3 linked regions of the Callithrix jacchus genome follow. The protein of the gene in region 2 purifies or fractionates together with the protein of the main gene of each other region. This does not show direct contact. Links are inferred from orthologs where the notes say so. Each region holds a gene or a part of one and is shown on either strand. Other genes may lie near its edges. The genes, in order: E2F2, TFDP1 and E2F3.

Region 1 (3,648 bases), on a different chromosome or scaffold from region 2:
CAAGTTGTACAGTGAGCCTATGAAGGAGCTGGAGTTTCAAACATGGGTCTCTGACCTCTGTCCCACTGTCCCAGTGCCCCAGTCCTGCCCCTGCCCTGCCCCTGCCCAGCCCTAACCGGGAGAGAGGCCCTTTCCGGGGCAGTGCAGCTCTGGGCCTAATTGGGGCCCGGGTGGTGACAGGGTGGAGAGGAGCAGATGGGTCTGTGGTTTGATTTCCCCAGCAGGTGTTTCCCAAGCTTGGCGGGAACAGAGAGGGGGATTGGGGAGGGGGGAAGGGGTGGCCTCAGCTGCTTGTCCTTAAGACTTGGGAAGGATTCATTGTCTGCCCCTCTCGGCAAAGAAAGAATGGCAAATGCAGTCTATTCAGGAGGCCCTGGGGCCCTCAAGCTGGAGCCCAAACATTGGGGGTGGGGATGTTTGCACTGCTTCCCACTGTGGGCACCTCCCTGGGGTGTGGCACTGAGCCAGGAAGTCTCCTGGGTCTGGGCGGATGCCCAGCCCCACCCTGATAAGGACCAGCTGTGGGACTGTGATGGGCACTCAGTCTGGCTGGGCCATCTGCTTCTGTATGGGGGGCCTTTCCCCACCCTGATGTGGTTTAGGCCCCACCCACTGCTTCCTCCTGGTATCATCCTCTGGGTGTGGTTGGGTGAGGAGCGGGTGTAGGGGCAGACTTGGGGCCTGTGGTTAAGGAACTCTGAGCCTTTGGCCAGACTGGTTTTGGTAGGGTCTCAAGTGCCTGGGCCTCAGAGGATGAGAGTTTTATTGGCCCTTCAGAAAACAAGACCTCCCCTGAAAGCTCACTTCTCAGGTCATTGATATTTTCCTATCAAGGACAGCAGTGCTTCACCAGGACTGGCAGTAAACTGAGGCACAGAGGTGGCTGCTAGTGGCCTTATCACTTTGGCCCCACATCAGGAAAGGCTAAAGGAGGTATGATTCTCAAACTCTGTCTCTCTCCCACCTCTCTCCCAGGCCAAAAGGAAGCTGAATCTGGAGGGGATTGGGAGGCCCGCCGTCCTTGAGTTCCCAACCCCCAAGGGGAAGTGCATCAGAGTGGATGGCCTCCCCAGCCCCAAAAGTAAGCAGTGCTGATGGAGCCTCAGGGTGGGGTGGGGCAGGGGCAGAGGGCAGCGCCCTGCCTAATCACTGGGAGTCATATTTGGAGCACTTTCCAGTTTACAAAAGATTCCTTTGCATTTTCTCACTTGATCCTGGCAGGTAGGTAGGCCTGTCTCCCTTTACTAATCAGGCAACTGAGACTCAGAGAGCTTGAGTGACTTGCCCACAGTTTCAAAATGGAGTCAGGACTTGAGCCTGGACATGTAAGTCTTGCACTACTTCAGTGTTTTTTTGTTTCGTTTTGTTTTTAATTATTATTATTTTTTTATATAGATGGGGTTTCACCATGTTGGTCAGGCTGGTCTTGAACTCCTGACCTCAGGTGATCCACCCGCCTTGGCCTCCAAAGTGCTTGGATTATAGGCGTGAGCCACCATGCCCAGCCTGTTTTTGTTTTTAGACATGTCTCACTCTGTCGCCCAGGCTGGAGTGCCGTCTTGGCTCCCTGCAACTTCCACCTCTGGGGTTCAAGCAATTCTTCCACCTCAGCCTCTCACGTAGCTGGGATTACAGGGGCATGCCACCATGCCTGGCTAATTTTTGTATGTTTAGTAGAGATGTGGTTTCACCATATTGACCAGGCTGGTCTTGAACTCCTGACCTCAAGTGATCCACCCACCTCAGTCTCCCAAAGTGCTGGGATTACAGGCATCAGCCACCACGACCGGCCAGTCTTGTACCACTTCTACCACGCCATGTACTGCTCTCATGTTCTAAATGCAATGACCAGTGTTTTATTTGGGAATTTATTATTTTTAAAAAGTTTTCATATTTAGGTCAATGTAAACATTTCTGAGAATCCAGCTCAGAGGAGCAGGGGCTAACCGGGTCTTTCTCCCACCTGCAGACAAGGAGCTAAATAAGTGATTCAAAGGGAAGGGCAGTACAGATTGATCCAGTCTGTGCCACCTCAGGTTTTTTAGATTCAGAGGTTGCCCAGGTGGTGCCTTCCTAAAGCTAAGTTGGAGGGGCTTGCTGCCTCTTGATATTTTCAGTCAATATCCTGGATAGGCCAGGCACAGTGGCTCACACCTGTAATCCCACCACTTTGGGAGGCCGAGGTGGGCAGATCACCTGAGGTCAGGAGTTCAAGACCAGTCTGGCCAACATGCCAAAACACTGTCTATACTAAAGATACAAAAACTAGCTGGGCTACTTGGGAGGCTGAGGCAGGAGAATCACTTGAACCTGGGAGGCAGAAATTGCCGTGAGCTGAGATCATGCCACTGCACCCCAGTCTGGGAGAAAGAGTGAGACTCCATCTCCAAAAAAAAAAAAAAAGTTCCTGGTTAGAGTGGGAGTGTAAGCAACTGTGTTTGGGAGGAACACTAGTTTTACAGGTCATTCCTGTAAACCTTAGTTGTCTCGTGTAAAAGGAAGTACAGCTAGATCAGGAATGGCAAGAAAGTTTCCTTTGCATTGACTGGTCAAGGCTGCCCAAAGCACTGTCTTGAAGGATCCTAAGACTCATGATAACTGGTCCTCTTCCAGAGGAACCTAAGACTCTCCAAAACTCAGGTTCCAGAATTATTAGATTGGCCACTAACTTGCAACATGACTTGGAAGTCACTTGATTACAAAAGTCCCCTCGGTTTAAGATGCTTCAGCTGAGATGTGGTCTTGCAACATCAGCCTCATTGAGAAAGGACCTTTTCATGAACCTCCCCACTTGATGTTACGGGACCGATTCTCAGATAATCACTGGGATTCACATGGAAGGAACAGCCAGTGTGTGTCTATAAAGATGTTCTTAAATCCAGGCTTATCATTCCTGTCCTACTCTAATTCCAAACTCCTGACATTTAAGTGGCAGGATAGGGTAATGGTTAAGAAGGAAAACTCTGGAGCCAGATTGTCTGGATTCTAATTCCAGCTTTGCCACTTCCTAGCTGGGTGAGCTGAGCAGATTACTTAAACTGTGCCTCAGTATTCTCATCAGTAAAATGGGATGATTGTACAGCAACCTTATATGGTGTTGTAAGGCTTAAATGTGTTAGTATGTGGAAAGCACTTAGAACAGCGACAATAGTTGTGGGTGGGGGTATGGCGTCTCTAAGCTGTGGTGGAAACGTGCCTTGAACCAGGAGTAAGGACACTTGGCTTCCAACATACCCATTGGCTTTGAGACCTTAAGCAAGTCACCTTCTCTCTTAGGTATTAGGTTCTCTGTCTGGACAGTGGTGGTGATGGGTGCCCTGCCTCACAGTGCTTTGTAAACTGGAAAGTGGGTGGTGAAAGTTGGGACTTGATGAGCCTAGGTCAATGGGCGAGAGTCCTGAGATGGCACTCCCTGAGCTGTGACTGGGTCCCTTTCTTCCTCAGCCCCCAAATCCCCTGGGGAGAAGACTCGATATGACACCTCGCTGGGGCTGCTCACCAAGAAGTTCATTTACCTTCTGAGCGAGTCCGAGGATGGGGTCCTGGACCTGAACTGGGCCGCTGAGGTGCTGGACGTGCAGAAGCGGCGCATCTATGACATCACCAATGTGCTAGAGGGCATCCAGCTCATCCGCAAGAAGGCCAAGA
Region 2 (3,748 bases):
ACTCTCCTCCCAGCGCCAGCCCCCAACTCAGATCACAACCCTCGAGGGTTAGGTGAGCCTCCACCCCGTGCCTATGCAGTCCTTGACAAACCTTGCATCTCAGATGCCCACACTGGATGGAGCATTCAGGGTCCTGCAGAACCTAAACACCTTTCTGTACGCTCTCCACCCCCAGCCTTACGATACATGTTGCTCACAGACAGTGCCAATGAAATCAAGGGGGGATGAAAAGAGGGCCCTGGAGACACCATCCATTACATAGCAAAGTGTGTTTGAGAACCATTTCAGGAAACCACACAGGAAACCACACAACACCAGAAGCGTGCTCTAACCAAGGTCCTAGGCCCAGCTCCTCACCATGAGGAGTCGTAATGAACATGGCTGCAGAACGTGGAGCACATGCCTACATCTGGATTTGGAGTGCGTGCATACACAAGGTCAGGGCATGGTACAAGCACAGTGGAGAGGATACAAGTGACTCCAAAAAGCCACACTGGGTTTACCTGGGTGTTCATACACATTCTCTAAAGCAGACCCCAGTGCTTAAAGCCAGGGACACTGTGTTACATGTGTGGTGATTGGTCAAGGAGGGCAGGTGCCCCACAAGATCCTGCAGGGACCACTGAAACATCTGCGCCCATGGAGGGCGCTACACTCTGGATGCATTTTCGCTGTATCTCAGGCAGAGGTAGCACATGTGGCCTGTTTCCAGCTCTGCATGGTAAGTAGGTAAACACATCAACAGTCCCTTTCACTCACAGTTACAGAGCGATGTGATGCGTGGTGGAAAACACTAACAAATCCAGCTGTTTCAGTGACTGACATTATAAAGCATGGTAAATAACTGCATGACAATAAAACCGACTACATTTCTGGCCTTAAAAGCCCCTTTCCCCACACAAGTTTAAAAAATTATTCAAAATATTCTATAGTTTCATGACAAATATAAAACAGGCTACCATTTTTTACCAGATTTCATAAATCACCACATCTCATCCTTCTGAGAAAGTGGTCACAACAAGTGCTTAGCACTTGGTCCACCCAAGTGGAATTAACTTCCTCTGCAGGAAGACAGGTGCCAGCAGGTGGCTACATCCTGAGCCCTGGCCTCACCCCTCATAGCATGTAGAAGCCTCCCAAGAAATGGGGAATTCGCTGTGGGGATGCAATGCCCTCCACCTCATTTAACTAAGGAGTTTATTCAAAATTATTAACAGTCGTTAAAGATAAGCAAAAAGTCGAAGGCACTACCCAATTGCACAGTGTGGTATCCAAGACCACAACTAGCCGGTGGTGAGCACAGCTTCAGAGATCAGATCCTTCCATCTTTCACCTTCATCCCGCTTCAGACGCTTTAAAAGTCTGAAAATAAACACTACTGTAGCTTATGTGTTATCATTCTGAAATAAAGGCAGCAAACTACAAAGAATTTAGTGCGAAGCAAACATTCGTGTGGAGCATGAAGCAAACATACTTACATCTTTTGCCATGTTACCAGATCCGGGAAATCAATGCTATAAATGTTCACCCTCCCAGAGAAGAAAAATGATTTTTCTGGTAAAAAAAAAAAAAAAAAAGGGAAAACGAGAAATAAGTAAGAATGAAAAAGAAGTTTAAAAAAATAACACATCTCAAAGAAAACGTGGACCTTCCTTCCCAAAGGCGCCCTCCATCCTGGGAGCAGAGCTGGCCAAACAACTCCCACACTCGATTTTAAGTCACCTGGCCAGTCGGAAATGCCCCCTATGGAAAAGTGGCCCTGGGGCCCGCATGGTCACCACCACGACCCCCAGGTCCCCGACGGCCCGCCCAACGGCCGAGGGTGGGGCCGAGCCCCGCCAGCCAGGGCGCAGCGCCTCCCTCCCGCCGCTGCAGTGGGGGCGGGGGCCCGCCACCCACCTGGGGGCAGCCCCGGGGTCCCGGCGCAACGTGCAGGCTCGCGGCGTCCACCCAGACCCCGGCGGCGCCCGCCCGGCTGACCGGTAACTCTGACAGGTGGGCTTCCGGGGTCCGCGCCGCGCGCCTGTCACTAGGCCTCGGGCCGCCTCCGCACGAGGCGCCTCCCGCGCGCGCCGGAACCGGGTCCCCGCGGGCCGCCGTGGGGCGGCCTCCCTCCCCCGCCCTGCGCGCTCCGGCCGACCCTGCCCCCGGCTCCGGCCCCGGTCCCACCTCTGGCGCGGGGCACGGGCGCTGCTGTCGGCCGGGAGGGCAGGACCCAGGGACCCCAGTCCCGCGGTCACCTGGGGAGCCCCAACCAGCGCCGAGCACGCGGGGTCTCCGGGGCACAGGAGCGCGCGGGGCGCGGGAGGGCGCGGGTCGGGGCCGCGCGGCGACTATACACAGCGAGGGCACGGGATGGGACGGCCGGGGGTCCCGCTCGCGCCCCTGGCCCCCGCCCGCGTCTCTCGCGGCATCCCCTGCCCGCCCGCACCTGGCTGCCCGGTCTGACCGCGCGGGCGCGGGCGCAGGGAGGGCGCGGCGCGGGGCGCCGGGCGGCGCGGGGAGGCGCGGGCGGGGGCCAGACCGGGCGGTCCCGGCCGTGGCGGGGTCCCTGCCCTGGGCCGAGTGGCGCCGGGACGCGGGGCTCACCCTGGCCGAGCGTCGGGCCGGCGTGACGTGCGCGCGGCGCGGTGACGTGGGCGGCGGCGGGCCCGCTCCGCACAGCGCGCCTGCGCGCCTTTTCGCGCCTTCGGTGCCCTCCTCCTCCTCCTCTGCGGCTGCTCTTGTCTCCCGCTCCTCCCGCCAGTGCAGCGCGCCCTGGGGGAGCGGGGAGGGGCTGTGCGCGCGTGTCCGTGTGTGCGCGTGCGCGTGCGGCGATGGAGCCGGGGCCTGCGCTGAAACAGGCCGTGCGCGCGCGCGGCGTGCGCTCGGAGGCCAAGGGGCCGCGTTTGTGAGCGCCTGTGACGTTGTGTGTCTGGCGAAAGAGGTGAACGGCTATGTGCAAGAGTGTGTGTGTGCACGTGGGAGAGCGGGGACTGGTTTGTGCACGAGTGTGCATGAGTGTACACTATTGTGTGTGCACTTGGGGCAGCAGGTGGGGGCCGGGTGTCAGGTGTGTGTGCACGAGTGTGTGTGGTGGGGGAGCAGGGGCTGGTGTGTGCACTGGGAAGAGCGGGGTCGGGTGTATGCGTGCCTGTAGGTACGGAGGGTATGCGCTTGTGTTCGCGAATGTGTGTGCACATAAAGGGCCGACTGTGTGTGGGGCTGTGCATGTATGGAGAGCAGGTGTGTGCACAGACGTGTGTATGTGGACACACCGAGGAGAGGAGGTGTGTGTGTGTGCGTGGCACAGAGGCCGCTGCCTCTGCTGGACCCAGTAGGGCCTCCAAGCTCATGCCCAGCCTCCGCCCAGATTCCCAACAATTCTGAGCATCCTGGGTGCTCGCTGGAGGGGGCCTGGCCCGGGACTCGGGAGGGAAAGCAGGGAAAGGAAAACTGCAGAAACAGTTCCATTGCATTGTGAGCCTGGTGGTCCCCAAGCCCTGGAGACTTTATCCACCCTGTATGGCCCCACCCTAGCACCGCAGCCAAGGGCAGGCGAGGCCAGAGAAGAGTCCGAAGTTCAGGTCCACAGCAGGTGGCAGAGCCTGGTGTGTACCGAATGTGGTGAACATCTGCAGAGCACTGGAGGAGCCCGGAGCCTAATGAATATCCACGGAGGACGGGAGGAGCTGACCAAAGGCCTGTCTGCCTGTGCCACATACTATTACAGGGAAGCCCACTTTGCATGTTCTATGCTGATTTGGCC
Region 3 (3,648 bases), on a different chromosome or scaffold from region 2:
ACCACGTCTCTCTGTAAGGAGACTTCGACCTTCCGGCTTAGAAGCCGAGGAGGGAAGAGAGAGGAAAACAGCTGGAGAGAAAAGAAAGAACGTGTGGGCATGTATGTGAAAGCGGGAACTAAGAAACGAGGCAGTTTGAAGTGACCCCCTCAGAGCCAGGGCACGGGGACGGCTCCTACTCACATCCACTGGACGTTGTTCTTAGACTTCTTCTTAATGAGGTGGATGCCTTCCAGAACGTTGGTGATATCATAAATCCTTCTCTTTTGCACTTTGAGCACTTCTGCTGCCTTGTTCAAATCCAAGACCCCATCGGGTGACTGGCTCAGGAGCTGAATGAACTTCTTGGTGAGCAGACCAAGGGACGTATCATACCGCGTTTTTTCTGAGGGAGATTTTGGAGCTTAAAGAAAAACAGAAACCAAGCGGGTGGGGGATGGGGGAAAGGTGAAGAAATGAAGGGTGTCTGCAGTGAGGCAAGCTCTTTCCCGCTGCAGCCGAAGTATTAGTATCGGAAGCACGGCTGTCGTTGCTGTTGTCGGCAAGTCGTGGAAAGCTATGGAAGTTCTTTATTAGAAAAGTAAGGGACAGTAAAAATGCCAGGATTTCATGAAAGCACTTTACCTTGAAGGTCTCAAGAGTTTCTACCTTGGCTTACACTAGTCCCTGGCTCTAATCAAGAATTTACACATAGTGGGTGCTAAAAAGTGATCTGTCAAATGAATGAGAGTGCTGTGGTCTCAGGGGACCAGGACACATGGGGCCTACCATGCTGGAGCGAGGCTATGAATCTCACCAGCACCGCAGGACAGGGTCTTAAACACACCCATCACAAATGGCCTTTCAGGCTCTGATATCTGTGTGTGCGTGTATCACCTGTTCACCAATTTTTCTTTTCTTTTCCTTTTTGTTTGGAGACGAAGTCTCACTCTGTTGCCCAGGCTGGAGTGCAGTGGCGAGATCTTGGCTCACTGCAAACTCCACCTCCCAGGTTCAAGCCATTCTCCTGTCTCAGCCTCTCGAGTAGCTGGGACTACAAGCACACACCACCATGCCCAACTAATTTTTTTTTTTTTTTTTTTTTTTGGTATTTTTTAGTAGAGACGGGGTTTCACTATGTTGGCCAGGCTGGTCTTGAACTCCTGACCTTCTGATCTGCCTGACTCAGTCTCCCAAAGTGCTGGGATTACAGGCATGAGCCACCATGCCCAGCCCAATTTTTCAAATAATGCTTAGTTTGAGATATAATTACCTAGAAAAGCCTTCTGCCAAATCTCCCCATCTCTCTTAAAGGAAATTTCCTTATTTAAAATAGTACTTGTTCCCCCACAGGTGCACAGGTTAAGGTTTTAATTTAGTGTCACAGATAATTTGTGAATTGCCTAATGCATGAACTACAGGAGGAGCTAGAACAAAATCTAATTTAGCCCTTATGTTAAATGCAAACACACACATAAAGGACTATTTGGCTATTTCTAGCCTACGTTTCTCTCTCCCACAAGAAATGGTAATAGTATTCGATAGAAAGAAAACCGGCCTGCAATTTATTGGGCTCAATCAATTCTTTCATTTCCATACGCTGAGCTGGAGATTGAGGTCGGCACAGACATTAGTGACTCTGGCATAGTTCATGGACATCCAGTTTGCCTCAGACTCTGAAGCAATGTCCATTAAGGGAAGTTAAAATTAAATTTGATACAGAACGATGCCAAAAGCTCGCATTCGGAGTTGAAAAATGGAACTGCATACAGTTAAACGAAGCCTTCCCTTATGGTACCAGCGTGACTCTGTAGCCTTTCGCTGGTTGTCTGCTGACACTGTATTTATTTTTTTGGATAAGCACAGAAAGAAACGAAAAGGAACAAAACATGCCAGAATTATTCACACCTTGGCATCCTTCCGGCCATAAGCTTTGAAAGTTGGAAATTCCACACCGAGGAGAATAAGGAAAGAGATGAAAGGATCCTTACTTTTTGGACTATCTGGACTTCGTAGTGCAGCTCTTCCTTTGCCCTTGGGGGTTTTTAAACCATCTGAGAGGTACTGGTGACCGCTTTCTCCTAGCTCCAGCCTTCGCTTTGCCTGTAATAAGAAAGTGCGATCTCTCGTCACCGGTCATATGGACAAGAACAAGAAGGGAGGCAGTTTGTGGGCTGGCCTGCCAAATGCTGCGGGCTCGTGCCAGCTCTCACCCCTCTGCTCCACCCCACTCAGCATCTTGTCACTCGCTAGAGCCAGGATTCTAGCACTGGAGGCCAGGCTGTCATGCACACTCACTTCACCTGCCATGATCGTCCGTCCACACCCAGATGGACAAACGCGGCGATCCTCTAGCATTAGGTTCAGCAGTCACTTTGTTCATTGATTCAACACATCATGTGCCCGGCATGGGGCTGGATGCTAAGAATATCGCAGGCGCCATGGGACTTTGAAATTGACTTTCCACAGTGACTCTCTCCTGCCCATCTCCTGTTCTCTGACCTGGGCTGGACCCCTTCCTTACGGACCCCCAAACACTCGGCGTTTATTTGTATCATGACACTTATTAGGTATTACCGTAAGACTTATCTGTTTCTCATTTCCTTTAAGGCAGGGACTGTTTCCCATTGATCTTTGTATACCCAATGCTTGGCACAGAGCCTGGGTTTCTGTAGATTTTCAATCACTCTCTCTATATACTGTATATTCAATGAGAGAAAGAGTAATTGAATAGTAACACAACTAGTCACAGACTACAAACGGTCCTTCATCAGAAAAACAAATACTGCAAACATGCAGTCTTGGGCTTCAACCAGTATTACTTTCTCCATTTTGTCACCAAGCCTGGCAGATGAGAAGCCCTTACCTAAGCTTTTAATTTAACTACAATTCAATTTTAAAACATCCACATAGGGCCTTCTAGGTACTAGGCGTTGGGCTTAGGGAACAGAGGTAAGCAAGACAGATAAGGGGCTTGAGTCCAAGAGAGAAGACTCAATTAAGCAGTTGTTAAGTACTAATTGTGTGCGTATGTCAGGCACCAATCAGATACTCAGCACAAAAATTCGTATTTAGGCTCATTTTCACGCAAATTCTCCTTTTCTTTTTTTTTGAGATGAAGTTTCGCTCTTGTCACCCAAGCTGGAGTGCAGTGGTGTGATTTCAGCTCACTGCAACCTCCACCTCCTGGGTTCAAGTGATTCTCCTGCCTCAGCCTCCGGAGTAGCTGGTACTACAGGCATGCGCCACCACATCCAGCTAATTTTTGTATTTTTAGTAGAGACCATGTTGGACACGATGGTCTCCATCTCTTGCCTCGTGATCCACCAGCCTTGGCCTCCAGAACTGCTGGGATTACAGGTGTGAGCCACTGCGCCCTGTCTATGGCAGATTCTTCTAATGAGGAGATTTGCAATTTCAAAACAACTCCCCAGGATGTGAAAATGTAAGCAATAACTTATTAGTGGAAGACATATCCATCTTCTCTGTGGAAAGTTACCAGCTAACCCTGCACCATCTACCAAGATAGCCACTGGTTTGCTAGCTCATCCAAACTGACACGTGCCGTAAGTGTAAAATAACACTGAATTTGGAAGACTTAGTACAAAACAGGGAACTATCTCAACAATCTCGATAGTGATCACATGTTAAATGAAGTAAATAAAATAC

The links.
Region 1: the proteins of TFDP1 (region 2) and E2F2 purify together in Homo sapiens (affinity purification with mass spectrometry; 3 studies listed by BioGRID and IntAct, with this or other methods). This does not show direct contact. The link is inferred for Callithrix jacchus from reciprocal best matches to the Homo sapiens genes TFDP1 and E2F2.
Region 3: the proteins of TFDP1 (region 2) and E2F3 purify together in Homo sapiens (affinity purification with mass spectrometry; 3 studies listed by BioGRID and IntAct, with this or other methods). This does not show direct contact. The link is inferred for Callithrix jacchus from reciprocal best matches to the Homo sapiens genes TFDP1 and E2F3.

Annotation. Positions count from the first base shown.
Region 1 is NC_133508.1:60,278,496-60,282,143, reverse strand, and holds part of E2F2 (transcription factor E2F2), read left to right. Parts: intron 1-975; coding exon 976-1,081; intron 1,082-3,444; coding exon 3,445-3,648. UniProt on the Homo sapiens protein: Transcription activator that binds DNA cooperatively with DP proteins through the E2 recognition site, 5'-TTTC[CG]CGC-3' found in the promoter region of a number of genes whose products are involved in cell cycle regulation or in DNA replication.
Region 2 is NC_133502.1:29,048,391-29,052,138, reverse strand, and holds the start of TFDP1 (transcription factor Dp-1), read right to left. Parts: upstream 2,623-3,748; 5' UTR 2,590-2,622; exon of another isoform or gene 2,170-2,589; intron 2,147-2,169; exon of another isoform or gene 1,723-2,146; intron 1,555-1,722; 5' UTR 1,491-1,554; coding exon 1,479-1,490; intron 1-1,478. UniProt on the Homo sapiens protein: Can stimulate E2F-dependent transcription.
Region 3 is NC_133505.1:10,309,344-10,312,991, forward strand, and holds part of E2F3 (transcription factor E2F3), read right to left. Parts: intron 2,083-3,648; coding exon 1,971-2,082; intron 404-1,970; coding exon 184-403; intron 1-183.